3 linked regions of the Caenorhabditis elegans genome follow. The protein of the gene in region 2 interacts with the protein of the main gene of each other region in a pairwise test. Each region holds a gene or a part of one and is shown on either strand. Other genes may lie near its edges.

The links. The genes of interacting proteins can lie anywhere in the genome.
Region 1: the proteins of jmjd-3.2 (region 2) and nhr-17 interact in a two-hybrid assay, tested with the Caenorhabditis elegans proteins (one large-scale study listed by BioGRID).
Region 3: the proteins of jmjd-3.2 (region 2) and ceh-18 interact in a two-hybrid assay, tested with the Caenorhabditis elegans proteins (one large-scale study listed by BioGRID).

Annotation. Positions count from the first base shown.
Region 1 is NC_003284.9:12,661,887-12,670,450, forward strand, and holds nhr-17 (Nuclear Hormone Receptor family), read right to left. Parts: upstream 5,969-8,564; 5' UTR 5,967-5,968; coding exon 5,885-5,966; intron 5,837-5,884; coding exon 5,736-5,836; intron 5,559-5,735; coding exon 5,329-5,558; intron 4,678-5,328; coding exon 4,578-4,677; intron 4,437-4,577; coding exon 4,341-4,436; intron 4,285-4,340; coding exon 4,148-4,284; intron 4,099-4,147; coding exon 3,929-4,098; intron 3,438-3,928; exon of another isoform or gene 3,338-3,437; intron 2,865-3,337; coding exon 2,707-2,864; intron 2,473-2,706; coding exon 2,356-2,472; 3' UTR 1,951-2,355; downstream 1-1,950. Other genes in the region: nlp-76 (Neuropeptide-Like Protein), read right to left, coding at 729-803, 905-1,056, 1,695-1,716.
Region 2 is NC_003284.9:14,444,529-14,454,415, reverse strand, and holds jmjd-3.2 (JmjC domain-containing protein), read right to left. Parts: upstream 6,207-9,887; 5' UTR 6,187-6,206; coding exon 6,075-6,186; intron 5,512-6,074; coding exon 5,272-5,511; intron 5,086-5,271; coding exon 4,595-5,085; intron 3,960-4,594; coding exon 3,254-3,959; intron 2,809-3,253; coding exon 2,621-2,808; intron 2,575-2,620; coding exon 1,982-2,574; intron 1,926-1,981; coding exon 1,734-1,925; intron 1,110-1,733; coding exon 1,028-1,109; 3' UTR 849-1,027; downstream 1-848. Other genes in the region: F23D12.7 (Neuropeptide-Like Protein), read left to right, coding at 584-713, 761-810; F23D12.4 (F-box domain-containing protein), read right to left, coding at 8,292-8,844, 9,299-9,414.
Region 3 is NC_003284.9:3,853,348-3,860,455, forward strand, and holds the start of ceh-18 (Homeobox protein ceh-18), read right to left. Parts: upstream 4,451-7,108; 5' UTR 4,397-4,450; coding exon 4,351-4,396; intron 3,020-4,350; exon of another isoform or gene 3,019-3,019; coding exon 2,873-3,018; intron 1,085-2,872; exon of another isoform or gene 876-1,084; intron 1-875. UniProt on the Caenorhabditis elegans protein: Directs gonadal sheath cell differentiation and function. Also directs gonad migration and plays a role in specifying the differentiated phenotypes of epidermal cells during postembryonic development.

The sequences.
Region 1 (8,564 bases), 1.8 Mb from region 2:
GTTTTGCAAAATTCGTGCCTTCCCGGAAAATGACCAAAGATTGCACAGCTCAATTTTCAAACACCGAATAATTCAAGCCAAATTAAATATTATTTTTATTTCCAATTCTTAAGACACAATGAAAGACAGAAAATAGCCGATAAAAGCTACAAAAATTTTCTATCGCTAATTGAAAATTTATAAGCCGTATAATTTTTAAAAAACGTATAAGCGTTGAGTTTTCTAAACAGAAAAATACTGTGTGACGCTTTTGGTTTTTTTTACGCCGTGTGTTTCCGTTGTGAATATTTTTAATTTTTCCAGTAGATCCCACTGATTTTTTCAATTTGGAATACATTTTTTGACAATGATTACACATTCTGCTTTTTACTGCATAAATTGTGGTGGTACAGTCCGCGTCGGAGTATATTTATAATTTCTTACAGATGTACCATTTTTGAGTTTAGAGGTCAAACAACAGATTGCGATTTCGCACAGATTTGTGTTTAGGTATGAGTTTTTTGTTAAATATTCTGAAAGGAATTATGAGATTGAACATAAAATCTTATTTTCCTATCGTGCATTCTAGTCATGTTCCAAGTCGCACAACTTCTCACAACCGTTTATTCTTTATGCACGATCTTTATGCAAAATACAAAAGAAATAAATCATAATTATCAAAATATCAGAAATGTAGCACTATGTCAGTCGATTCGACCACGATCTCTTTGTTTTTATATTGTTTTTTTTTAGAACCGGAAGTAAGCGGGGAACGCTTCAGGTTCTACATTGCCAGAGTCAACCACGGGATACAGCTCAACGATCTGAAAAAGATACACATCATCTAACCTTTGGTTGGCTATCCAATTTGGAAACCGTCAATTACAATTTTAGCATTAAAATAAAAACGAAAAAGAACACTAACCGGGGAACGTTTTTCGGCGGGCAAAAGATGTGGTTGGTTGAGAACGGCCTCTTCGTTTTGACTTTGACGGTGTATGAGGCTACGTCCAGAACGGAATAGTGCACCACGGAGGGCCATAGCGTTTTGGGAGAGCACGCAGATTGCGATGAACACTGAAATTTTGGAGCAATGGTAGACTACTGTTGTATATGTGAGTTTAAATAGATATCATCCCTGAGCTAGGGTATTCATGGAACCCCATTGGCATTTGATTCACAAAGTAGTGTTTCATAAGGTTTAACTAAAATGGAAATATCTCATATGTTTGAGCCAATTAAAGTTAGACTATCACTTGTGAGATTATTGTGTTCAACTGTATCAATCAACTTATTAGTAAGAATATACATAAAATGTAAGACCGAAAAACGCAATGAAGTCCGGATAAAGACTTCTATAAGTGAAAAAGTGAGATTTTGAGCGATGGGAAATTGAGCGCGCTACATCGTTGCCGAAGTAAATCTAAACTTTGACTGGGTAATTTTTAACCTAAAATTGTTTTGAATTGTGCAACAAAAAAAAGATAACCTAAACGAAAGATCTGGAGATTGGCTCGGCACTTTTAAAAATAGATGTTATGTATGACGATACATTTTTCAGGGTCTTGGTTTAATTAGGAATCTGTCGATATAATTTACTAGAATAGGAAACGTACGGAAATTGACAAATTGTACTTGTTTGCAAAAAATGTTACAAGTTCCAAATATTCCAAAAAAAAACTATTTCTGAACAAGATTTTAATTGAAGGACTTACCAAGAAGAAATTTTCGGCTCATCTTGCTGACAGCTCAAATGTCGAATGACCAAGCTCGGCTCCAAAAGGTGGGCCGAGCCATGCAAGCTCCGCCTATTTACCAATTTTCTCAGTTCCAGTGTAATAATAATCAAATTTCAGCATTGCTCGTCATTCACTACGGTAGTATTGACGACCTGTGAATCGAATTAGCGCGGAAACGTGCGCGCTGCTGTGGAAACCCTTGTCTTTATTGAATTGTGTCGTTTATCACAAGACTCTCAGCTTTATACTGATATGAGAAAGTGCTAGAAGACGAAATAGGTATGGGGGTACTGGTTTGGCAACATATCGTCTATATACTGAACAATTAAAACATTGATTCGATGAAATTAGGAACGTTTAGAAGGAAAACATACCCGCGCAAAAATGATCAAAAAAGAAACGAAAGGAGTAATGGGAGAACATGAATTTCGCACCAACGGATTAAAAATCGAATCGAAACGTTCCGAAAGTTTCTTGACACGTGAGCATAGTGATTATAAAAACTAACATGAGGTAGTGGAAAGGGGAAATAAAAACATTTATAGTATCTACTGTAGGGTTGCAATGACTATTGTCTAGAAATCAGCTTAAAGTGACTAGAAGCTGGTTGTAAGTTGCATCATAAATATGTAAATTTTCAGAAATATGAAAAGTCGGGATAACTTTTAGAAATTTCCATGGTGAACGGATGTGGCTGCATCAATTCGAATGTCTCAATTGTGCACAGTGTTTCTCGTTTGAATGCCGCCACTTTCTGAAATAAAACTCGGTTTTTTAGTGAAAGGTCCTGCAATTCAATTTTTCCTTCTCATTATTAAATTCTTAAAAATTAAATTTTGCCTCAAAATCAGTCAAGTGAGCGTCGAATTGTGTAGGACGAGTCACAATGAATTTTTGTAAAGTTAAGATTTTTGTTTTTCTCTTTTAGCTTCATTTCGTTTTGTTTTTATTACGAATTTTGAAGAACAATGGGGCAGAATATTCTCACCTGTACATTACAGATTCTGAGGAGGATTTCCGCAAATCTGGTGGACGCTTCAATTGAGTCTTTCGTTTGTTGATGAAGCCATTTTTGAAGGGAATCCAGAAGTCGCTTGCGTTTGGCAGCAATGAGTTGGGAGCCGTGTTTTGTCAGGGAAAGACAATCTGAAAATTGAGAAATTTGTTATACGGTTCTGTTTAAAAAATCATTTTGGAAACAAATACACATAGTTTACGTAACACTGAATCACGTCACTTATGAACCTTAATTTATATTCCGTAACTTTTTTTTTTTTTCATTTTCGTTTAAAAAAATGATGTGCTGTGTTTCTATTTTCGTACTTATCAATACATTTGTATTAGATATATGTGGGATAATTTTTAACTTAATCAAACTTCCGTGAAATCTAGTTAAGTAACCTTTCGCAATAAGATTTGTCATGCCACCTGGGCAAATTTCTCCTAAAATTCATAAACATGTGCATAACTTTATTTGCCAACCCAAAGCATGAGCAATTTGAAAACGCAGAGAATACATGTGGCAAAACTCTGCGTCTACTAAATAGACATAGGGGCAGAGAAGCGAGAGTGAAAGCGAGAATGTCCTCTATATAACCGCTGTCGCTCTCCTGCTTCCTCGTGCCGTCGATAGCTCAGTTGGTAGAGCGGAGGACTGTAGAGTCAGCAGGTATCCTTAGGTCACTGGTTCGAATCCGGTTCGACGGATTTCTTTTTATTATTTTGTGCAAGACGTTAATTGACACAGATCTTTGTCCTATCAAGTAAAGTTTCAATTTTTCAATTATGGAATTGACCTTATAAGCATTTAACTGCTTTCAATATAAACTGTTTTTCAAAAACATGTGTAGGAAAGCTACATACTTAATTTTCAGAAATGTATTCTGAATATGCTAACTTACTGAAGAAAAACATTTTTGAAAAAAAGACATGGGAGTTTTTTCTGCTTTCAAACATTAAAATAATGAAACGTTTTTCTACTTTTACTCCAGCATATAACACTTCCAACTAGTTTTCAGCACACTAAAATACAATTAGGGAAATCAAGTATATTTAAGATTTAACAGTTCAGTTCAATGTGAAAACTGGAAGGCGAAGTTTTGAACTATTTTTTGTTGTATTTGTTTTGTTGTATTTGTTTCTCTTAAAAGGGCCAATTTGTGTGTTTGAAAGCACTACATAGTTTTGAGAAATTTCAAAACTGCACTAACCAGGATCGAAGAAAATAATTGCTTGCAGCAAAACATATTCAACTTTTGTTAGTCGCATTCTTCTTATTGGAACGAGAACGTCATTTATTACGGCAACCACGGTCGGCGTCAATCCAAACGTTTTGTTCGAAACACCATCCGTGGAAACTGATTGAGCAACGTTTCGAAATCTGATAAGATAAATTTTGAAACATGTAAACACAACTGATCAATTCATACCCACAGAGTCCATCTGGAAACACTATCCGATCGTTGTATTTTTCTGGAGTGTGAAATGCTTCTGCTAAGACTAAATTAGAAAACGCCGTGTGGATGAAGAGTCGTTTTTGATCTTCCGGTATTAAATGACTGAATACCTGAAAATAAAGTTTCAGTTAGAAACGTCTATGCGTGTTTTTTTTTCAAAACATACCTCAAACGATTTTGCCCATTCGACAAGAACAGTTAAAATTTTTGCTCGCCAATAAGAAAAGTTTGTTGGGTATTTTGGATCCATTCGCTCATCATACTGAAATTGATTATCTTTATTCATTTTTTCGAATGTTATGCAGTCTCAATTAATTTTCCTTTGTTTCATAAAAATAAAGGTTTCGATGAATAAATACATTTTCTTTCAATTGTTATGCGTATTTTATTAAAAATTACATACTGTATGGTTTTCATCATTGAATGCAATTTGTGTCATGTCCAACGCTTCCCGCAGAGAAGTGTGTATCATCATTGCGGAGGAGAGCAGTAGCTTTTGGTATCTGAAAATTAATTTTCAACATTTTCAATGAATACTAACATTTAGAATGTACATTGTGCAATTTAGAATTTAAATTTAACACGAAATGTTATAGATTTTAGTGAGAGGTCCTGCAAATTTGTGAGCCAAGATGTGGGTGAAACATACTATGTGTTAACAGACACAATTTTTTTAGAGCGGTTATTCTGAGACCAACCTTCCGCCTAGTTGTATTTGATGAGACCGTCGAAACATTATTGACATAAACACTTTTAGGAATATCAAAATTTTGGGAACAAAAAATACCATTTTTCAAAAATTTGAAAATATTCTTGTCCCATTTTTTTTCTCATTATCATTAAACGTTTTTGACTTAAACTCTTTGTACTAAAAAATAGCTTGTGTTTTCAAAACTAACACACATTTTAATATTTTAACACGGATACTTCTTGGACAATTAGTTGTTTTTTTCCAAAATCTTTCAATAATGCTCAGAGACCTTGGCAATGAAAGTTTTGCTTTTCGCACGTAGCCATATTTGCACTTTCTTTAGTGTGTGTGTGTCGAACGTGAAAATTGTTAGTCTCTATTTTGCGTGAACTTTGCTTTTTATCCTATATGGAAAACATGTTCTATTTACTAGATATCAATTTTTAGAAAGCTTAAAACTTACAAAGTTTCTTTATACAACAACAAATTGATAAGAGCATCCTCAGTTTCCCAGCTTTCTTCGGATCCTTCTAATCCGTTCAACTTTTTTCGTTTCCGTCGTCGTTCCATGCTCAATTCTCCGCGATCCATTCCGGCAATTATGCATTTTTTGTAACGACAATGTCGGCAAGAGCATCGCATTGATTTGTCAATTATACAGTCTCCATTATTTTTACAGGAATACGTTCGATTCTGAAATTATTACTCAATCATAATTTTGAAAAGGTTTGTGAAATTTGAAAAAAATTGTGAAACTTGGAAATAATATTTGTAGCAGTTTCTATTTTTTATTTGAAAACCAACTTGCAGATGAAAAATATAACATTTGAAATTTGTTTATGAATTTGTTTACCGTCAATTTTCTCTTACCTCTAAAACGACTCTACGAAAAAACGTTTTGCACCCGTTGCAAGCGGCCACCGAGTAGTGAATTCCAGATGCTACGTCACCACAAACACTGCACAGTTCACCTGAAACATTTTGCAGTTTTTCATTGGAAATCATTTTCAGAAACACACCTGGTATGAATTTCTTGGCCATTTCCTTTGCTTTTTGACGTGAGTAATTGGTTTCTGCTAGCGGGCCTTCATAGGCTAGCATTACTGAAATGAAATAATGAATTGGAGTTTTTACATAGAAACGGGCAAAAGAAGAAAAAAATGAGTGCATAAAATATCAAATGTTAATCTCAATCGAGAGAAAACTAAAACTCATAAAGTTTTGCAATGGGCGTAGTTTTCATGAAATAAGATTAAAATGCTCCCAAGAAGAAGATGAATAGATTAAATATACTTTAGAAATGCATTTCATTCATCGTAGTAAGTAATGAGAATTGGGATCTAATTTGAATGAAGATGATCCGATTAATAACAAAATATACACAAGGTTATTCTCTCAAAGTTCAGCTTCTCACACGGAGGCTTTTATAACACTTCACTATTTTTCTAGAACCTACAATCACAAAATAATGCACCTGCCTAAATCACAAGAGGCCAACCTCCTGGAATCATTTGAATGTTTCAAAACAAAAAGACCATTCTAGAAATAGTGTATCAGGAGACACGCAGACTGCGCATGACCATATAAATAGTTGTTGATCATGATAGCGACAAAGAGAAAGAAAGATAAAAAGAAATTTCGAACTTTTAATTTATTTTCAATTTAACAAAATTGGAGACAAATGTAGAGAAAATAACTAGTGTCGATTTTATCGGTTGGTAGACAGTTATAAGTTTACAATTATTCAAACGTTGTATGTCATAAGTATAGAGTTAAACATGTTTATTAGTCTGAAAACATTCAAACTGATCAAAAACGTTTAGATCTTGGAAAAAAGAACCAAGAGATGATTTAATGAAGCAGTGAAAAATAATAAATCGTTTATAGTTCGCAACTCATGGTCATTAATAATATGTCCGATCTGTGGAAATAAAAGTTCAAACAACAGTATTCCAACACGAGAGCGTATGATGGGTTTATTGATGGTAATGCAAAGGTATTATATATACAGTGTCAGTGTAGAACGCAAACCATCATAAACAATCTAAAGAAATAACTTTCAAATGCCGAAATCTTCATAATAATAGAAAAACCATACATAAAAAATTTTCCGGAAATTTTATGAAGCTCCTATATATTTATGTTTCAAAGTGTTATGCAACTATCGTCTGAAAACAAAAATAACCGCATTTATTTTTTGAAATATCTTTATTTTTAAAATTAGCATAATACGTTTTCTCACAATTCTCAGATCTCTTTATACATGTCTAGTCTTATTCTGTGGTATGACCTTTGAGTATACTATAAAGTGAAAAATAGTTAAATAGAAAGAGCCTTGCAAAATAATATCCTGTGATTTCTTGGAAACCCTCAAACATCAATGAGCACATTAGCACAATTCCACGTAAGAACCAATTTCTAGAATAAGCGAGCAGATTTTATCGGATTTTGGTTAAGTTTCTTTGAATAATTTATTGATAATGTGAGAACAAAATAGTGGAAATTCTCTTCTTTGTTTTTCCAATTGTTTTTAAACACTGCAATGTATTGTAATATTTGATTAGAAAATCGAAGTAATTTACATTATTTGTCAGCTTTAAAATATAGGGAGATTTTATAGAAACATCACTAAATCTAAGCTTCTTTAGATAATCAAATAAATGCATAGTTATGAGAAATACATGTTTACAAAATCTAGATGAATCATATCATTAATATTTAGTATTTATGATTATAATAACATATTAGTGATTACGATGAGAAACTAACAGCTTATAAAATTAATTTTATTTTCTGAATCATATTTCAATACTAGAAAAATATACAATCGAGCGTATCATCGTTTGGGTATATTATTAAACCAGCCGTGGACCGCACCTCCGGCGCGGCCCCCGACTTCTGGGGCTCAAAACTAATTTTTCTGAAACTACCGTAACCCTACAGTATTCCTACCGTACCACTATTGTACCACTACAGTACTATATCCCTACACTAACCCCAACTCACTATCCCCACAGAAGCCAAAACTTCACAGACTACAAAGACTACATAGACTACAAACTATGGACAAACGGAATAAGCGCTTTATATATAGTAAATGATTGTTCAATAACAGAGATATAACGGACAATTTTTTTCATTGAGAAATCATAGACTCAATAACAAACACAAATTCGTTTCTGTTTCTCTAAAGGAAAAACACTTGGGGAAAAATATCGAACAATTGTAAATTACCTATTTTGAACACAACCTACAAAACACAACTTTTCTGCTCTGGTCTTTAAAAGAGATCAGGAACACGAATCGAAAATCAAAAGAACCCGGTCGGTTTTGTGAAACTGTGAAGATGTCTTGTCGTATAAGGTCAGGTCAATGATGTTTGTGAGTACTTTGAAGACGGTCACCAGTCTAATTATGCAACTCTATGTGCCGTTAAGCTTTTCTCTTAATAAAAACTTTTTTGGGCTTCTATGGCAACACATAGATTATGCACTCATACATATGTAAAAGGTTACTTTCACAATAATCCCGTATCCTCCCTTTTTTCATCTTTGATATAGACTATTGAAACAAACTACATATTTTAAAAACTAGGCTGAAGACGATAAAAAAGGAAAAGAAACAAAACATGGGAAACGCGGAAAAAAAAGATAGACGAAGTAGAAAATGGTGAACATGGTGAGAGAGGGAAAGAGGGGA
Region 2 (9,887 bases):
AGTTTTATTTTCTCAAACGTTAAATTACAGAAGTTCTCAAATGGGTGCAAGACTGACAGAGAATATGATTTATTTTTAATTTTTTTCAATTTTTAGAAGTAGTCAATAGAAGAGCAATATGAGAAAATTTTGGGATTGATCAGCAACTGAAGTATATGGAGCAGCACAGAAGCACAGTTGCATCACTGCTCTGGCCGTTGCCCTGAACCACAAAAACGGCGAGAAGGGAAAATACACTCAAAACCTCTGTAGTTTGACGGTTATTATTGGAGAGATATATGTACCTGTTTTTCTTTTCCTAATTGTATACTTATTTTTAACATGATTTTAACTCAGGTTTTGATTTTAAGTCAGGTTTCTAAACAGAATATATTTTCAATCGTTTCTCTAGAAATCAAATTGTATGATTCACCAACTCTTTTATTTACATGTCACCGGGAAAATTGACAACTGCCGCCGCAGTTGCTTCAACCTCAACATTTTGTGTGATAACATTGAAAACATCTTTTCGTCATTGTCTGATTTTTCTTCACCGAACTCCTCGTGTTTCTTTTTTTCCTAACCCAATCTCATCTTTCAGAAAATGTTTCGTTTCCTACTGTCTTTCTTGACTCTCTTCATGGTTTTGCTCGTTGGGATCTCTCTGTCCGCACCAATTCCAAATATTGATAACGCTGAAGATTTTCGCTACCCACAAGACCCAGAGGATTTCAGTAATTTCAAAATAATTGCATACAAAATCAAAAACTCCTATTTTCAGATAATATGCCAATGGCCACAGCACGTCCATCTGTCAACCCATGCAACTAAACATTTTCGATTTCTTTTTTGTATGTAAGAATAAATTTTTTTTATAATTAGTAAGTTGGACTTTATTAAACAGAATTGATCATATCGAAAAATGTTGCATAATAAAAAATCAAAACAAGATCAATAAAACGATAAGTGATTCAAAATGTGCAAGAATTGTATAATACAAAAGAAAGCTGTGAAAATTGAGGATCGAAAGTTGAAAAAAAGAAAAGTTTCAGGACACCCATTTAAACTCGTCAAATATCTTCACCAAGTCAGCAATGTCCCGCCTTTGAAATGCTGTTGCTTTGACTTTTCTGGAAAATTAAATATTAGATTATTACGTGGTGTCAGGCTGTTTCATTGCGGTTTTATCTACAAAAATGCGGGAATTTCTCTTCCAGAAAAATGTAACGTCAGCACACGTATAGCCATGCGAAATCAGCTGAAAAATCTCCGTCTCTTCTCTCGCATTTCCCGAAGAAACCAAAATGCGACACTTTGACACCAATTAAACTATTTTTATCTTGCTATTCGTGTGTTTTTTACTTTTTTAACCAAAATAAAAGTGGTCTACATGTTTGAACATATATACTTAAAATGCACTCAAATAAACAAATTTCGTACGAAAAATTCTCTAATTTGGGAGATTTTTCCGTGACGCAACGGTCACAAATTTGACTTTTTTGAGCTTTTGTTTTTTAATTGCATGTTTTGGTAGATAATCTCAAGATAGTTAACCAAAAATCACCAAAAAATGGCCTTCCATCGGGTTTGAATATACGTTATTCAACGAAAAAACGTTGGATAAACGACCGATAAATGCAATAAAAAAATGATAATTCGAAAAAAAAAATACAAAAAAATTTTCTATGATGAGTAAACAATACATCCCTTCTTCCGCATTTATCAGTTATCACTCTTCACAAAATGCAACTCACCCTTTAACTATGCAATTAAGGCAGAATGGATTTTGCTTATTGTCAAGTGTGATCATATTGAACAGAACTTCCCGGCATTTTTGGATAGAGCATCGCTCAACAGGGATGATCGATTTCTCGTTTTTTGCTGATCTGATGAGCATATTTTCCTGAATGGCGAAATCGAACTCAAACTGGCTTTTTGCCAAACTTCTGTAATTTTGAATTAATTAGTTATCTAGTATTATGATTCTGTGACGAAACCGTACTTTAGCATTATAGCCTTTCGAGCCAGGAAAATATTCTCATCCTCTGCCTCCACTCCATCTTCAGCCATTTTCCAGACAATTGGCTCAATAGGCATGAGAGTAGTTGCTTTACTCGAGATGTTGTGATCGTGAATGACCATTGCAGCAGCCAGTTGATTAAAAGTTGGTTGTGCAACATTCCAGGAGACGTTTATTGCAAAATCATTAGATTGCACCCAATGAAATGTTCCAATACCGACGTACACCATGTCTCCAGGCTTTTGTAGAAACTTTTGCGATGGTATCTTTTCATTTCTTAATTCCTGCTCACTTGGCCAGTACCCGCTTTTATAAACATTAAGTCGATGCTTTTTGATCAGCACCTCCATTCTGCCACTGTACTCCATGGGCACTCCGTACCAAACACAATCACCTGGTCCATGATTAATGTTAATGGACCCGAGAGCTTGGTTCTCCAGGTGAGCTGTGGTTCTTGCTCCGGGAGGCTTGCAATAAACTTGAGGTTTGTTCAGACCTGCAAGTGACTCTTGAGCAAAGTTGAGAAGATTCCCGGCTCCGTCGGGTCTCAAACAATCAGGCAATTTTTTGATCTCCTGAAAATAATGATTATTTATCTACCGTTAACTTTAAACGACATACATCGAGCTGTTCCTTGAATCGCTGATCATCCAGATCAATATTAGTTCCAAATGCCAACACTGTCGCATTTTCATGGACTGTAAGTTTGTGTTCAGGACTGAGTGGGATCGTATTTTCCTTGATTTGCTTCTTCATGTCATCCATTACTTCCGAAAATGCGGAAGGATTGCGTAGGATAGCTTGGTAAGCTGAAAAATGAAAGGTGAACAAATTTAATGATTTTTATAAACTTTGGAAGTTCTCTAGTTTTTATTAAAACTTATCAAAAAAGTTCCCAAGTGGGTTGATTAAGAGTCAAAAATTGGCGAGAACTCAGTTCTGATTACCCATAATTTAAAGGTCGACAATGAAGTAAGTGCTTTTTTTTATACGAATTTCAAAATCTAAATATTTTTCAAATATTTTCATTGGGATGCCATTGAGGTTCAAATGGTTGCGACGTTGCTTTATTTTGCTCAAAACTCCTGGAAATCTTTTGAAAAGTTTTCGCTAATTTGGTTTTCAAAGCTGACTGGAATTTTAGACCAATCTTTAAAAATTTTGAAATTGGGTTTTATAAGATACTTATTTTCTTATAAAACTCAAATATCTTTCGCTAAATAAGAATTAAAAAAAAACAGTTCAAAAACGTACCTGACCTTCCTATATCCTTAAGGCTTTCATAATTCTTCGCAAAATCTCTCAACTGAGTAACTCCTTCAAAATCGAAGACAGCCCAGGCATTTCCCAATCTCTGCACGGTATTTTTGTCATTCATGTAGAAATTGGTTGCTGATGACTGGGGCATCTGTCGACGAATTTTCAATGGGTAATCGGGGTAGAGAGGTGCCAATGTGGAGATGTCAAACGTTTGGCGATCCATCCCAAATGCTTCTTCGATTCCTCGAAAGATGCACATGGTTGTGGTATTGACGATATTTTTAATAAAATTTGATGTTTCATCGCTGTTGTTCTCAATATTATAGATAGGAACAGGTAACCTGTATTGATCTTTATTTGTGTATTCTTCACTTGTGTTTTCTTCAATCTTTCCATCAGTGTTGAATTTTGTTGTTTCATCAAATAGTTCAGAACAGCCAGATGTTTCGTATACGAGATTTTTGCCAGATTTGATCCATTTGCTTGCTTTCGTAATAACTTGTTTTCCTTTTGATTTTGAGACGTCCATAAAAGTCGCTCCGGTTAGAAACAGTTTCGGGAGTTTATATAATGAAGGCAGATCACTGGGAAGGTTGGATATTGGTGGAATGGCTAGCGATCGGAGTTTGTTTGTCACCAAGCCCAGATTCTCGTTGTCTCTGACAACATGAACCGAAACATCCGTCGAGCACGAGGGCTCCTGCAAATATTTTAAAGTTTTGTTAAAAGCATATACATAATTTGTAATTTGCTTTGACAACGTCCTACAACGTCCTGTCTTAGACAAAAAATTTTGACCTGAAAGTTTGAGTTTTTCGCTGAAAACAATTATCAATTATGCGAGCTCAAAATGTCTGCTATAAAATAGTACGTTCAACTTTTTTCCGATCGCACCGATCGCATTTTATACATAGTTTTAAAAAACTCCCTATTAAGTTCTGTGTTAAAATTTGAACTTTTCAAATTGGTCTTTGTTTTATGTTTACAATGCATATGTAAAAATTTATGATATCAACGAGCATACTTGGTAGTGTGTATAATAGTTTAATTCATTTATTTATTTTTCTAACATTTAGAAAATTATTAAAAAGTTATTAAATTGTTCCTATCTTTAATGCGATTCCAAAAGAATTAGGAAATTTCTGGAAAAAAAATAATTTTTTGATTATAACTTAAGTTTGACATAGCGTTTGACATTTAAACGTTATATTTTAAAATTGAGCCACATTTCGTTTATATTGAAATTTCATGTTCATTATCAGTAGGGTCAGTAGGTTTACAACACTATTAAAGTGCTATTTCTTTTTTTTTTTAATATTAATTGAAACAACATACCGAAAAGTGTTCCAACTGTGCATCGATGGTTTTTTTCGCTTCTTCCGACTCTAGAATCGTACCAGCTGCGTCTCGTCGAGCAAACTGAAGAAATGCGTTCGCGTTCCAGTCACTACTAACTTGATGTATTTGAAATTGATTCAACTTATTAGATGGTCTTCCTCTCGCCGATTTTCTTTTCTTACTCTTTGTTTCAATTAGTGTTTCTGGCTTTCTTTTCCTTGAAGGTCCAACTAAAAATTCTCCCTGTTCATGAGACTCTGATTTTCTCAATTTTGAGTTGTTCCCACTAATTGGTGGATAACTGTTGCCATGCTGATCCACTTGATCTCTTCCGTCAATTTCAATTCTTTCACGAAAGTCAGCATCATTGCTCTGTGTTGGCAAAATCTGTTCATTAGTTGAACCAGAATCATTTGTGCTGACAATCAAAGAATCTGTTCCGCTTTCTTCTTGAATTTTTGCAGTTTGTTCAATTGTTGTGCAGTCGTCTGAAAATGAAAACGATTAATTCAAAAAACATTTTGTTTAGAAAAAAATTAGCCCAATATTTAAAATCTCTGCAAACACGCAACACAGTTTTATAATTTTCAGTTCCCATCCGAAAAAGTTACTAAAAAAGTTGCATGAAGAAAATGTTTGAATGAGCACATTTTTCAAAGAAATCTTAAGCTTACTGGTAATAAAATTTGCTGCTGGAACTTGATTGTCTGGATCGATGAATTGCTCTGTCTCATCCGAGCAGTCTTCAGCAATTTCATAATTTCCTGATGATATTGTTGTTCCTGAAGGTTCAGTTGACGACTCTCCCAGTTTATGAGACTCGGATTCTAACAGTTTTGAATTGTTTCCGTTAAATGGTTGATCATTATCGAAGCACTGATCCACTCGATTTCTTTCATCAATCTCGGTTTTATCTTGAAGCTCGCCATGATTACTTTGTGTTGAATAAACTTGTTCATTAATTGGTTCAGAATCATTTGTGCTGACAATTGGAGAATCTACTAGCTTTTGAGGAAATTTAAAGAAATGCCGCATGTTGCGACCCCTACAATATTTTAATAAAAATAATTTAAACAAAATTAGAACATAAAAAATGTCGAAAAAATTGTTTTTTTGGTCGACTTCGAAAATTATGAGTGGCAAAAACTGAGTAATTGCCACTTTTTGACAGTAAATAATAAATTTTCAAAAATTTTTGAAAAGTTTTATCATGATATTTGGTCATTTTGTGACCAAACGAGTGGTTTTTAACAATTTCTCCACTGGCAGTACTCCACCTTTAAATGTATATAAAGAATAATATAATGCTTCGCTTGAAAAAAAAACTAGTCATATGAAAATCAATTTCAAATATAGATTTTTTACATTGAAAAAAAGGATTTTTTTAATTTCTCGATATGAAAATTCCGTCTCCTGTCAGTTTACAAACCTTTTTTATTGTATGATCGTGTTATTAACACAAAATTAAAATGTTCACCTGTGAAAAAATCTGGCTTCAATGTTGTCGGAACTGGATATTGTGCATCAACGAGTTGTTCTGTTTTTTCGAATTGGTCTTGTGAACCTGAACCTTGGCCACCGCTATCCATCTTTTGAAAAAATCCTGAAAAAATTATTGCTCGTGATCAAAATATTCAAAATTAATATTGCTAGTGGAAAAAAGTGTGAACTCAAATTTTAAAGAGGATTTTTCTTCTATTAATCCTCGAAATTAACAAAAAACACACACACACTAAAAACTGTACATCTATCAATAATTGCAAAAATTGCATGCATTTCCTAATAAAAATCTAAAATAATCCCAAAACTGCAATACAATAAAATTTAAAGACTTGGATATAAATCTCACTTTTTGTAATTTTAACAATGCATACCCTATTATTCTAAAACAACTAAAGTTAAGTTCTGAATATTTCATTTCATGTTAAAATTAATTGAATGAATTAGTTTTGTCTAAAATTGATGAAAAACTATATGTTAATTTTGAAAAACAAACTAAAAAACATCGAGAAGTGGTGCAAAACGTATGTTGGAGCCAATCCTCGCAAAAAGGTCGAGAACAGGCAGAGAAGACTGCGCAGAACAAGTTACATCATCACTCAATCTGCCCCGTTTCCCATATTTTTGTAGGAGACTGTCGGGTCACATATGACGCAAGATGTGCCTTCCCACGTTATGGAGTGCTCAAAGAGAACAGGTGTCGTGGGGGGGGGGGGGGGGGGGTGTCTGCTCGATTGTAACAAAATAGCCGGGAGGTCTAATTTTTGATAAAACATAACAGAAGGTGGCCACCAAATTATTTATAGGAATGTGCTTGTATGCTTAATTTTTTCAAACTAGCATGTTTCATTGAACATATCACTGGCAAAGTTTGCGTCGAAAAAATTTTCCAATTTCAAACGGTTACTTATATATTATTACTTATATTTTATATACCAGAATTCAAAATACAACACAAACCAACTACATATATTCGGTCACCGGAAATCGTATACTTATTAACTAAAATGAATTTGAAAGTTCTGCTGCGCTTTGTTGATTAATCTGCTTTTCCTTGAGAGATTATCTTTTCATCTTTTTCTCGTCACTAGGAGAGTGCAGACAAACTATGAGTAGCTAGGAAACTTGTCCCAACTTAACACGTAACAAGAGTACCGAACAGCAACGGATTAGAGGAGCACGTTTTGAAGGTCTTACATACAGTGCCGGCCATAATTCTATCCAATTTTCGATTTTTGATAAATTTACAAGTTTTTCAAACGAGCACAACTTAAAAACTGGACATGCTATCGAAAAAAATTCAACTCAAGAAATTTTGTCCATAATTACGTCTACTTGTATTCAGTTGTTTAAGTTGTTTACCAGTGTCATGACAAGAAATACAGCGGCCGACATCTCGTGAGCCCGTTTTTGACAACTTTTACTGATTTGCCGGTATCTCGAAAACTTTTTTTTCTGTAAGTGTTGGCAAAGTAAAATAATCTTCATATTACTTGCCATCATGTGTGTCTTCTCACGTTGTTCTGAAAAATTCAGCAAAAAAGTTATGATAGATTAAACTTGAATAGTGTACGACTACAACTAGAGCATTTCTCGCAAGTGAAGAATTTTTTTTCCCTGAATTTTGATATCGTGTTTAAATAAAGTTTAATTGTGATTTTACATTTGTAATTATTAAAAAATGCTCGAAAAAAATATATTCGAAGTAAGTAACCTGATTTTTGGTTGTACAGCATGAGCAGTGCCAAGTGAGGGACTAGTTTGCACTTCCATAACTTTTTTGCTGAATTTTTCAAAACAAAGTGAGTAGGCACAAATGATGGCAAGTAGTATGAAGATTATTTTTCTTCAAAAACATTTCCAGAAAAAAATTAGTTTTCGAGATACGGCCGAATCAGTAAAAGTTGTCAAAAACGGGCTCACGAGATGTCGGCCGCTGTATTTCTTGTCATGACACTGGTAAGCAACTTAAACAGTTAAATACAAGTAGACGTAATTATGGACAATATTTTATTAGTTGAACTTTTTTTGATAATTTATAGGATATCTAAAAATGGGAAAAGCGAAAGTGAGGAATACGAAAAAAAAACAGATGGAAGAGGAAAGAAATACATGGATTTATTACTGAGGCTTAACATTTGACCTTATAATTAGAAACAAAAAATTATCAAAAGTTATTCAAGTTCAGAAAATTTTAATCATCATTCAAGCCCAACAGTCTTTCGCCATTTGGGAATCCCCAGATTTGAAGAGACGAAACTCGGCTAACTTCATCAATGATGCACTTGAACACTTCGTCGCTGTTGTTCTTTCCAGCAACTGCCAGAGTATCCATTTTGATTTTCAAATGATTCACAAGGTTGATGATATCAAGAATCACAGCGTCGGGCTGCTTATCAAAGGTGAGTTCCATCGAGATCATCTTGAACGTCTTTGAAAAGTATTTAATCAAATACTTCACTGTTTCGACTCGAGTTCCATAGGTGTTTTTGGCGCAGCATGATGGGAAAATGGGGTCAATTTTCAATAAATTCATTGGCAGTCTCGTTGAGCTCCTAGTTCTATACACCCTCTTTGGAGGCATATCATCCAGTTTTATGTTCACAATCTCGTTGGTTGCTTCTCCGTCATATCCGATTTTGATGATGAACGTTTCTCCGAGATTGACAGTCAATTGAACAAGATGTCGACGCGAGTGCTCCAATACCCATCTCTTTGCTTTTTGAGATAGTAACGCCAGTTTCACGCTAAAAATGAACCGTATTTGAATTGAATTTAAGCTTGCGAAGGCAGGACATATTGAGAGAGCGACCTGGGTAGCTTGCTCCCAAGTCGCTTTCAGATTTATGGTGAAGTGCGATATGCGATTTAATTTAAAAACTTGGTTGTATTCTCTATATTGAGAGTTTTCAATCAAATTAATGTACTAGTTGTTCAGAGTTCAAGATAAACTTCTAGGAAATCAAACAAACAACTACTTAAAATGTTATATTATTATTGTAAAAATACGATCGCACAAACTTCTCATAATGTATATTTGATCTACCTGCTGAACTTGACCCCGCCCCCAATCTTGTTGCCGTTGTTATTTTGTTGTGGCTGTCTTGTCAAAGGAAGGGAATGAGCCTAGTCAACAAGGTAGATCAAAAATAAATTATGAGAACATTGTGCGATCGTATTTGTTCGATAATAAACACTTACAGCTCGAACATTGGCAATTGTTTCACAATATCACCGAGTGGCAATGAAGGCAACTCTTCAAGCAGAAACGGTTTCTCGGTTTTCTTCGATGCAACTTTTGTCAAACCCTTCTTCATTCTGAAAATAAATAGGTAAATTATGACATTAGAAGACAGTTAGTGAGAAATTAAAGAAAATGGTAGTTAATACAAGGCAACATTACATACAGAGTTCAAAAAATAACATTTAGTTGAGTATGTTATAAAGGAAAATAGAGAAACGTTAAAATTGGTGAAAGGCAGTGAAAGTTGGTGAGATTTGAAAATGAAGACTTAAAAAATTTTTAAAAATTGGTTTTTGGTTTGAATTTACTTCTTTTAATTTTTTGGGATTTCACTTATAAAGCTGAAGTAACGAAGTGAGAAAAGTGAAGGAAATAGTTAAAATTACCCATTTTCTGCTAAAATAATAAAATGTCTCTAGAACATATGTTTTATTTACAATCTAAACGTTGTGATTATTCAATTTTTACTTTTCAACATTTTGGAAAACGAAAAAAAACGAATGATTTTCTATTTTTGTATTTTAATTTTGTTTCAATAAAGTCATT
Region 3 (7,108 bases), about 11 Mb from region 2:
ACCAACTGATTTAGAATTTTAAGTAAGTGATTGCGCTCTTAGAAAATTTCAATTTTCTGAAATTGTTGAATACCAGAGGATGTTAATCAAATACTTGGAAGCTTTAAATTCTGGGTTTCAGGGAGCTTTTACTTTAAACACCTCCGATTTCCAAGTTCAGAATGCAAGTGCAAACTTGGTTTTCAATAATTAAAATTAAAGGTCTTGAAATGAGTTTTCAAAATATTAAATTGAATTTAACTGAATTGAATTCAGGTTACCTAAAATAAGAAGTTCACTTTTTTTTCAAAAACTTCAATTTGTATACTTTTCAAAAACCTGAACCTGAAATTAGTTGTTTGCAGGATGTTGATTAAAAGGGCTAAAATTGCTAAAGTTTGTGCACTTATCGACTGAAAATTTACCTAATTCAACACAAAAAACTCAACTGCCAAAGTATGCAGAGGTGAAATCGAATAAAAATTAATTTCCGGCCGCTGTGACGAAAAATTGCAAAATTGGAGAGCTTAGCCCTGTTTTCAGAAAAATTCCAGACGCGTCACTACGAAAATTCTCTATTTGGGACCATTTTGGGCAAGTTAGAGCAATTGTTCATACACACTTTATATCATTATTGACCACTGATCGTTATCAGAACCTTTTTATAATGAACAGCTGTGGTAGTCAAGGATCAGAGAGAGAAAGAGGGAAAAGGGGAGCAAGAGATATAGAAAAACAGACAAATGACCGGACCTGGGAAAATAGTGTTACAAAAAAAGGGAAAATGAAATCGAGAGGAGAGATGAGGAGGGGGTCGTTGCGAAAACAAAAGAGAAGTCGTTTGATGGTCCCAATGAGAAACAGAAACGACCTACTACACTTGCAGCTTCTCACTTTTCAAATTCCCTCCCGCGTTTTTTTTTCGCCGCTGCTTTCCCCCGGCTTTTTCCCCGTTTTATGTATGCAACAAATGTTGCATCGGCAAACGGATGGAGTGGAATCTCTGCCCGAGTGGGTGCTACCAGTCGTCACAGAAAAAACATTGAGAAGGGGACCAAATGGGGGAAAAAAGAAGAAGAAGCGTTCCAAATGGGTGGACGGGCGTAGAATGGCACACGCCAAAAAATATTTCTCCTCTCGTTCCAGCTATGTATAAATCTGAGGCAATTGAAAAAAAAGAAACGAAAAACTAAGGGGAATAGAAATGGAACGATGTGAAAAACAAGCAAATCTGGAAGTGCTCGTCGAAAACTCGAGTCATTCAGTGGGGTCGTTTCTCTCATACCCATACACACGCGAAGCACGGACCGCCGGCGTTTTCGTTCCGTAAAGGAAGATCTCATCTTTTTGTCGTCGTCGTCGTCGACTCCATTTTCAGGACCAAAACGACGATGCTCATTACTTATTCAATTACTCAGCGACCGACGGGTCATGATACTTATTGAAAAATGCTGCAGCATGATTGGGTCAGCCAACCTACTTTCTTTATTTCCAGAGGTCTCTAATTTTGAAAAAAAATTGAGGATGCTCAAAAATGTTCAGAGCTGCTGTAGTTTGATACAATTTCAATGTGAATATAGAAGTTATGAAAATTAATTACAAAAGTAAAGGAAAAAAGAACTGAAAATACATTCAAAAATTTTGTTTTTTAATTAAAAAAAAATGATAAAATGACCTGACTGAACCTTAATCCAAAATTAAAATACTACGAAACAAAAAATTTTTACAGCGTGGGAAAAGTTGGAAAACGTGAGAAGAAAAGGCTTGAAATTTAACAAATTTTAGTAATTAGAAAATACACTTTTGTGCTAAAAAGGTATGTATAAAAAGTGAAGCAGTTTATATACAGTGGCAGTCGCTGAAAATAGTTAGCGACCGTCATCTCAATACTGTTTTTTCCAAATATCTTTTCGGTCAAAAATGATAAGGAATATCTAGTTGAATCAATTTCTAAAGTTATTTTTACGATATTTTTTTAGTTATTTCTTTATGAAACGGTCATGAAAATAGACATTAAAAGTTCTAATAAATAAAATTTAGAACATTTATTCAAAAATGTTAATCTTACTGTTTCGAGCCCTTTCTTAAAATTAACTATGCAGAATTTCTAGATACAGAAGAGTAAAATAAAATAATATGTACACATTAACAATAACAGTAAAAATCTATGTTAAAAAATAAATTAAAAAAATACTTTTTAAATAAGACGATGGTTTAAATTTTTATCCATATTTGAAAATGTAATTTTTGAGACAGGCAACAAACTGGTTCGTTTGGAATTTTGCACTAAAAACTAAAAATTGTTTTTTCCCTAATAAGATGATTAAAGATAAAAAATAGGATCATGCCCAGAACAGTAAATTAACAGTTTAAATTAAAATTTTTATCTTGACGAATCACTAAATTTCCCAAGATTTCGCCTAAAAAAAGGACCAATATGAAAAGTTGAAAACACAGAACGACGCGGCTCGGCTTTCTCCTCTGCCTACTTTTAGTTTTGTCCTACATCATAAACAAGGGCCAACTCCCGAATCTGCTTATCTCGATACCCGCATCTCTTTTCCTTTTTAGCCACCCCTTTATTGCATTATCCCACACTTTCATTGCACTGCTTCATCTTGAGAAAGCAAATGGATGCGATGGGCTGGGATGGCCGAGTTGAATTGGAAAGGTCTGATTTTGGGTCCGATGAGAGTGGAAAAACATTACTGACTAATTTAGATGTGTGGTATTTTATAACTATTTTCATAGCTTTTTTAATCATTTTAGTATATATAAAGTTTTATGAAACAGCTTAAATTTTTTTTTTCACTGATTGCAAATAAAAACGTATTTGAGAAAAAAGGTAACTTTAAAAGCCAATTGGAAAGCAGTTTGTTTTCAAAAGACTCACCTCTTCTTCCTCTTCTTCGACCACTTCTTCTTCTGGGATTACTTCGTCTTCAGTGATGATCCTCTTCACCGGTCGACTTTTTCGTTTGCTGGCTCCCGACAAAGATGGACTGACACGTTCTGTGACAAGGCAACCACCATTGGCTTCTGAAAAATGTGCACAAGAAATATGGAGCAGCATCTAGTCAGAAAAGTTCCTTTTTTGAGCAATCAGAACATGTTATCTCATTTTCACGATGCCAATCAAATTCGCGCAGAAGTTTTTTTTTTCGAAAGCTAACATCAACGACGCTGAACTTGAGTTAATCTGTGTAAGTAGTGGAACGCGAAAATAAGGACACACGGAACGGTGATCAATAGATCAAGTTTTGATAGTACTTTCACTACTGTGATTTTTCAATGAAATGATAAACTTTTAATTGATAATTTGGAGTTACTTATTTTGTGTACATTGTTCTACAAATCAACTTACAGTATTTAATAACTGATCAACGTTTCAGTGAATGTAATTGTCAAATAACTCATTCTAACAATTTTTATAATACTCTAAGATGGCCGAATATCAAAATAGAACACTCCATAATTATTTTGGTGAAAATTCAAGAAAAACATTTGAGCATTGCTACACTTACATACATGTTTTCAAAATGTTAGGTCAAAACTAAATTTTAACCACTCTTTGACTGTAAAAAAATTGAAAATTCTTTCAAAATGTTTACTGTAAAATTTTTAGCGCTATGAAACCGCTTTTTAAGTGTAAATGAGTTTTGGAAAATGTTTACCGTCAAACTTTAAATTTTTACAATTTTTTTGAAAAGCTGGTAGCGTAACATTGGAAATTAATTTTTGTCTGAAGTGATTTCATATCGAGTATCCAAAATTTATTTTAATGTTTTGCAAGTATTATAATTTTTTGAATTTCTGACAATTTTCTATACAGAAAAATGCATTCAAAAATTCAAAAAAACTTTTGACCCTTATTTTCTCAAAAGTTATTTCTGGAGTTGTTAAAACTAAAGTTGATAATTTTGAGTTTGCTACTCCAAAAAATATTTAATTATTTTATACATACCATTTCGATTTTAGTATACACATGAATTAGTTTCTTAATGTACATATATTTCATTTTCAGGCTCAAAAAACAAGAAAAAACCCAACAAAACTGTTTTGCTCAAAAGTGCAAAAAGTTTCACTTTTTCATCAAAAAACCCATACAATTTTTGAAAAACGCCTAATTTTTTTTTTTTTTTACACAAGTGAATTTGGATTTTAAAACTGCAAAAAAAGAGCATCTGACCAACATTTTTAAAAAATTGTTGCGTCCAGGTAGACAATCATCGCCTATAACATACCGTTGTCATTAGCTTTTCACGAAAATCAGTCAAAATGAATTATTACAGCAACGCGCTTGATTTGTGACCAGACTCCGAAGAGTCGACAATTAGAAAAAGAAACGGATATTGATAAAGCATCACCTACCGAATACTTCTGCGAGAAATTGAAACGTGTTCTCCAAGGTGTTCATATTTCTTGCATTGATGATATGTGTTGTGAGGATGATGATAGAGACTTTTTACGTCTGAAACAGAGACACTGTTGGATAAGACCGACAGAGAATGTGGTTTTGATAGATGAAAATTAAAAATAAATCGAAACTGTATAAGCTGGAAGGTGAATGAAGGTATGACGAATCAGAAAAGATTGACTGAGAAAAGAGAATCGAGATAAACAAAATGTAATATTCCGTCAATTGAGAAAAGAAAATGAAGAATGTGTTTCATGTGAGCAAATCGGCGGCATGGATCAAGCGAAACGCGTGGGGGCCACTCATTGCCGACGAGGGTGATCGCATCGGCGATTCAGGAAAATGAGCCACCCTAGAAGTTGTAATATTGGCATAAAATCAACCACTCTCGGGGTGGGGAGGAAAAGCCGAGCGGCACCTAACTAGCTGACAGCCAAGCGTTCTAGTGCGACTTGTGTCTCAGTATTTTTCAGCCAATTGTCGCATGCGCCTAATGATTCGATCTGATTTTTCTGCGGCTACTGCTGCATCGCGTTCAGCTCTTCTTGTTATGATAGCTCTCGACGAAAAATGTGGGAGAGGAAGAGAAAAATAAAAGAAATGAAGTGAATTTCGCATAGGACACTTTGTTTAAAACAATTTTCGAGTCCCTGTTTTTCGCATCACTTTTCTTCTATTATCTAAGTTATTCTAATATCTAGGAACGAAACTAGGGTAAAATCTATCGCGTCCTAATTTGAAATTTAAACTTCGATGTTGCCGAACTGTATGAGATCATAAAGAAAATTTGACTGATAAGCTTTGAATAACACATTAGAGTATTAAAAAACGCCAAATTTGCATATGATAAGAAGAGAAATTGGTTCTGTAGCTCCGAGAGTGCCTATGTTTGTCACTTACACATCATTTTCTGAAAGTATTTGCATTCTCACTGTTGAGAAAATTTCTAGTTGAAGCTGAAAAAACAGTTAGCTCTGTAAAAATGGAGAATGTGAAATATTCAAAAAAGATTCTTCGAAATACATCTTGGAGATAAGATGATATGATATCTTGTGTATGAGGCTCACTCTTCCCGGCCATTACACTACACATTCATTACCTAGTCTTTTGAGCACCACTTGGCTCATGAATTCGAGTCTTCACAAAATTACGTAGGATGACAGACAACACAACTGCTAACAAAAAAGACGACGCCCCGCCGGCTTGTTCGGCAGTCAGGCACCGAGGCATTTTTGATTATCAAAAGATTTTTGATGGATTTTATTGAGTGATTGATTGTGGGGGGATAAAATGTTGATTCGGGAGGTGTTGTTCTGTTTGGCAAGAAAGAGACAAAGAATTGGGAAGGAAAAAGGGATAAGACGGAGAATAGGTAGTAGTATGAATGAAACATGGAGAAACAGATGCGATATCGAGAGGTCATCAGCTTAACGAAATGAGCATTGACACATGAGCCCTAAAGTTGAGGCAATTCGAAACGTGATGTACTTCTCTTGATTATCTATTATCTTTTCCTACAAAGTCCCCATTCCTTCAAAAGCTCCATTATCTTTTTTTGTTTTCAGCTGTACTGTAAAACGAGGAAATGTGGATGATCGCACTGGTCGGATTCATGTTTAGCCAGTAAAAGGCAAAAAGGCATTGCGGCGGCCAGATCTGTGGGCAAAACCGCGCAGTTGTTCAAATATGCATATTAGATGGCGTCGATTTGAAACGACGGTGCTTCTAGCGCTGCTCCTGCCCTGCTGACACTCTGGATATACGACATTTGCCTATGCAAGCGAAAGAATGCCGTTTGGCCGGCTCCCCCCAAAAAGCCAAATGGCTCTATGAATAATCACAATGAAGTCGTGGTGGACATGTATGTAGTCGTTGCATGGTCCCAAGGAAAAATGAATAAAAAAGTTGGTGAATGGCGGAGAAAAATGAAGGGGCGCGTGGAAAGCGTGGGGGGGGGCATGACTAAATGGACTCTCATTTGACTATTCACCGTGCTAACAATGTGCGGCCAAAAGTAAAAGTTGACATTTCGAGATTGAGTTGGCAAAGAGCGAGTTGCGTTGAAAATGAGCATTTAAAAGGGAAAAAACTGTACATTTCTATCGTACACTCGTGTTGATGTGAAATGTAATTTTCACATTCACAGTTCTCTTCATCACAACATTAAACTTTTAATATAATTCAACTGGTGAGGTTTGAAATATCATTCGATTTATTTGAGAATTGATTGAATTTAAAATAGCTATCAAAATTTGTATAAAATTAGAAATTATTTAAAACAGTTTTTGAAATTTTTGGAAGTTTTGAAGCAGATGGATTTGCAAGAATTGAGATTTTTTAATACAATAAAAATTAGGACAATCTTAAAAAGAGTATATGATTTGATGAATAGTATGAAATACAAATTTTCCGAAGCCTGGCTAAGCTCTTCTAATAGCTTAAATTGCGGCCTATTTCAAATATTTCACAACATTTTCAAACAGCATAATATAGATAAATAAATGATCAACAATTTCAATTGATAATTTTTGCAAAAGTCAAAAAATAACTGGTGCTCTGAACTATCAAAAAATCTCTCATTCAATTTGTGAAAAGGAACATAACTTGTAAAAACTGTGAAAATGTTCATATTACAAAATAGCCGTCATAATTTGTATAAAATTAAAAATTATTTTTAGATCAGTTTTTTAAACTTATGGAAGTTTTGACCGC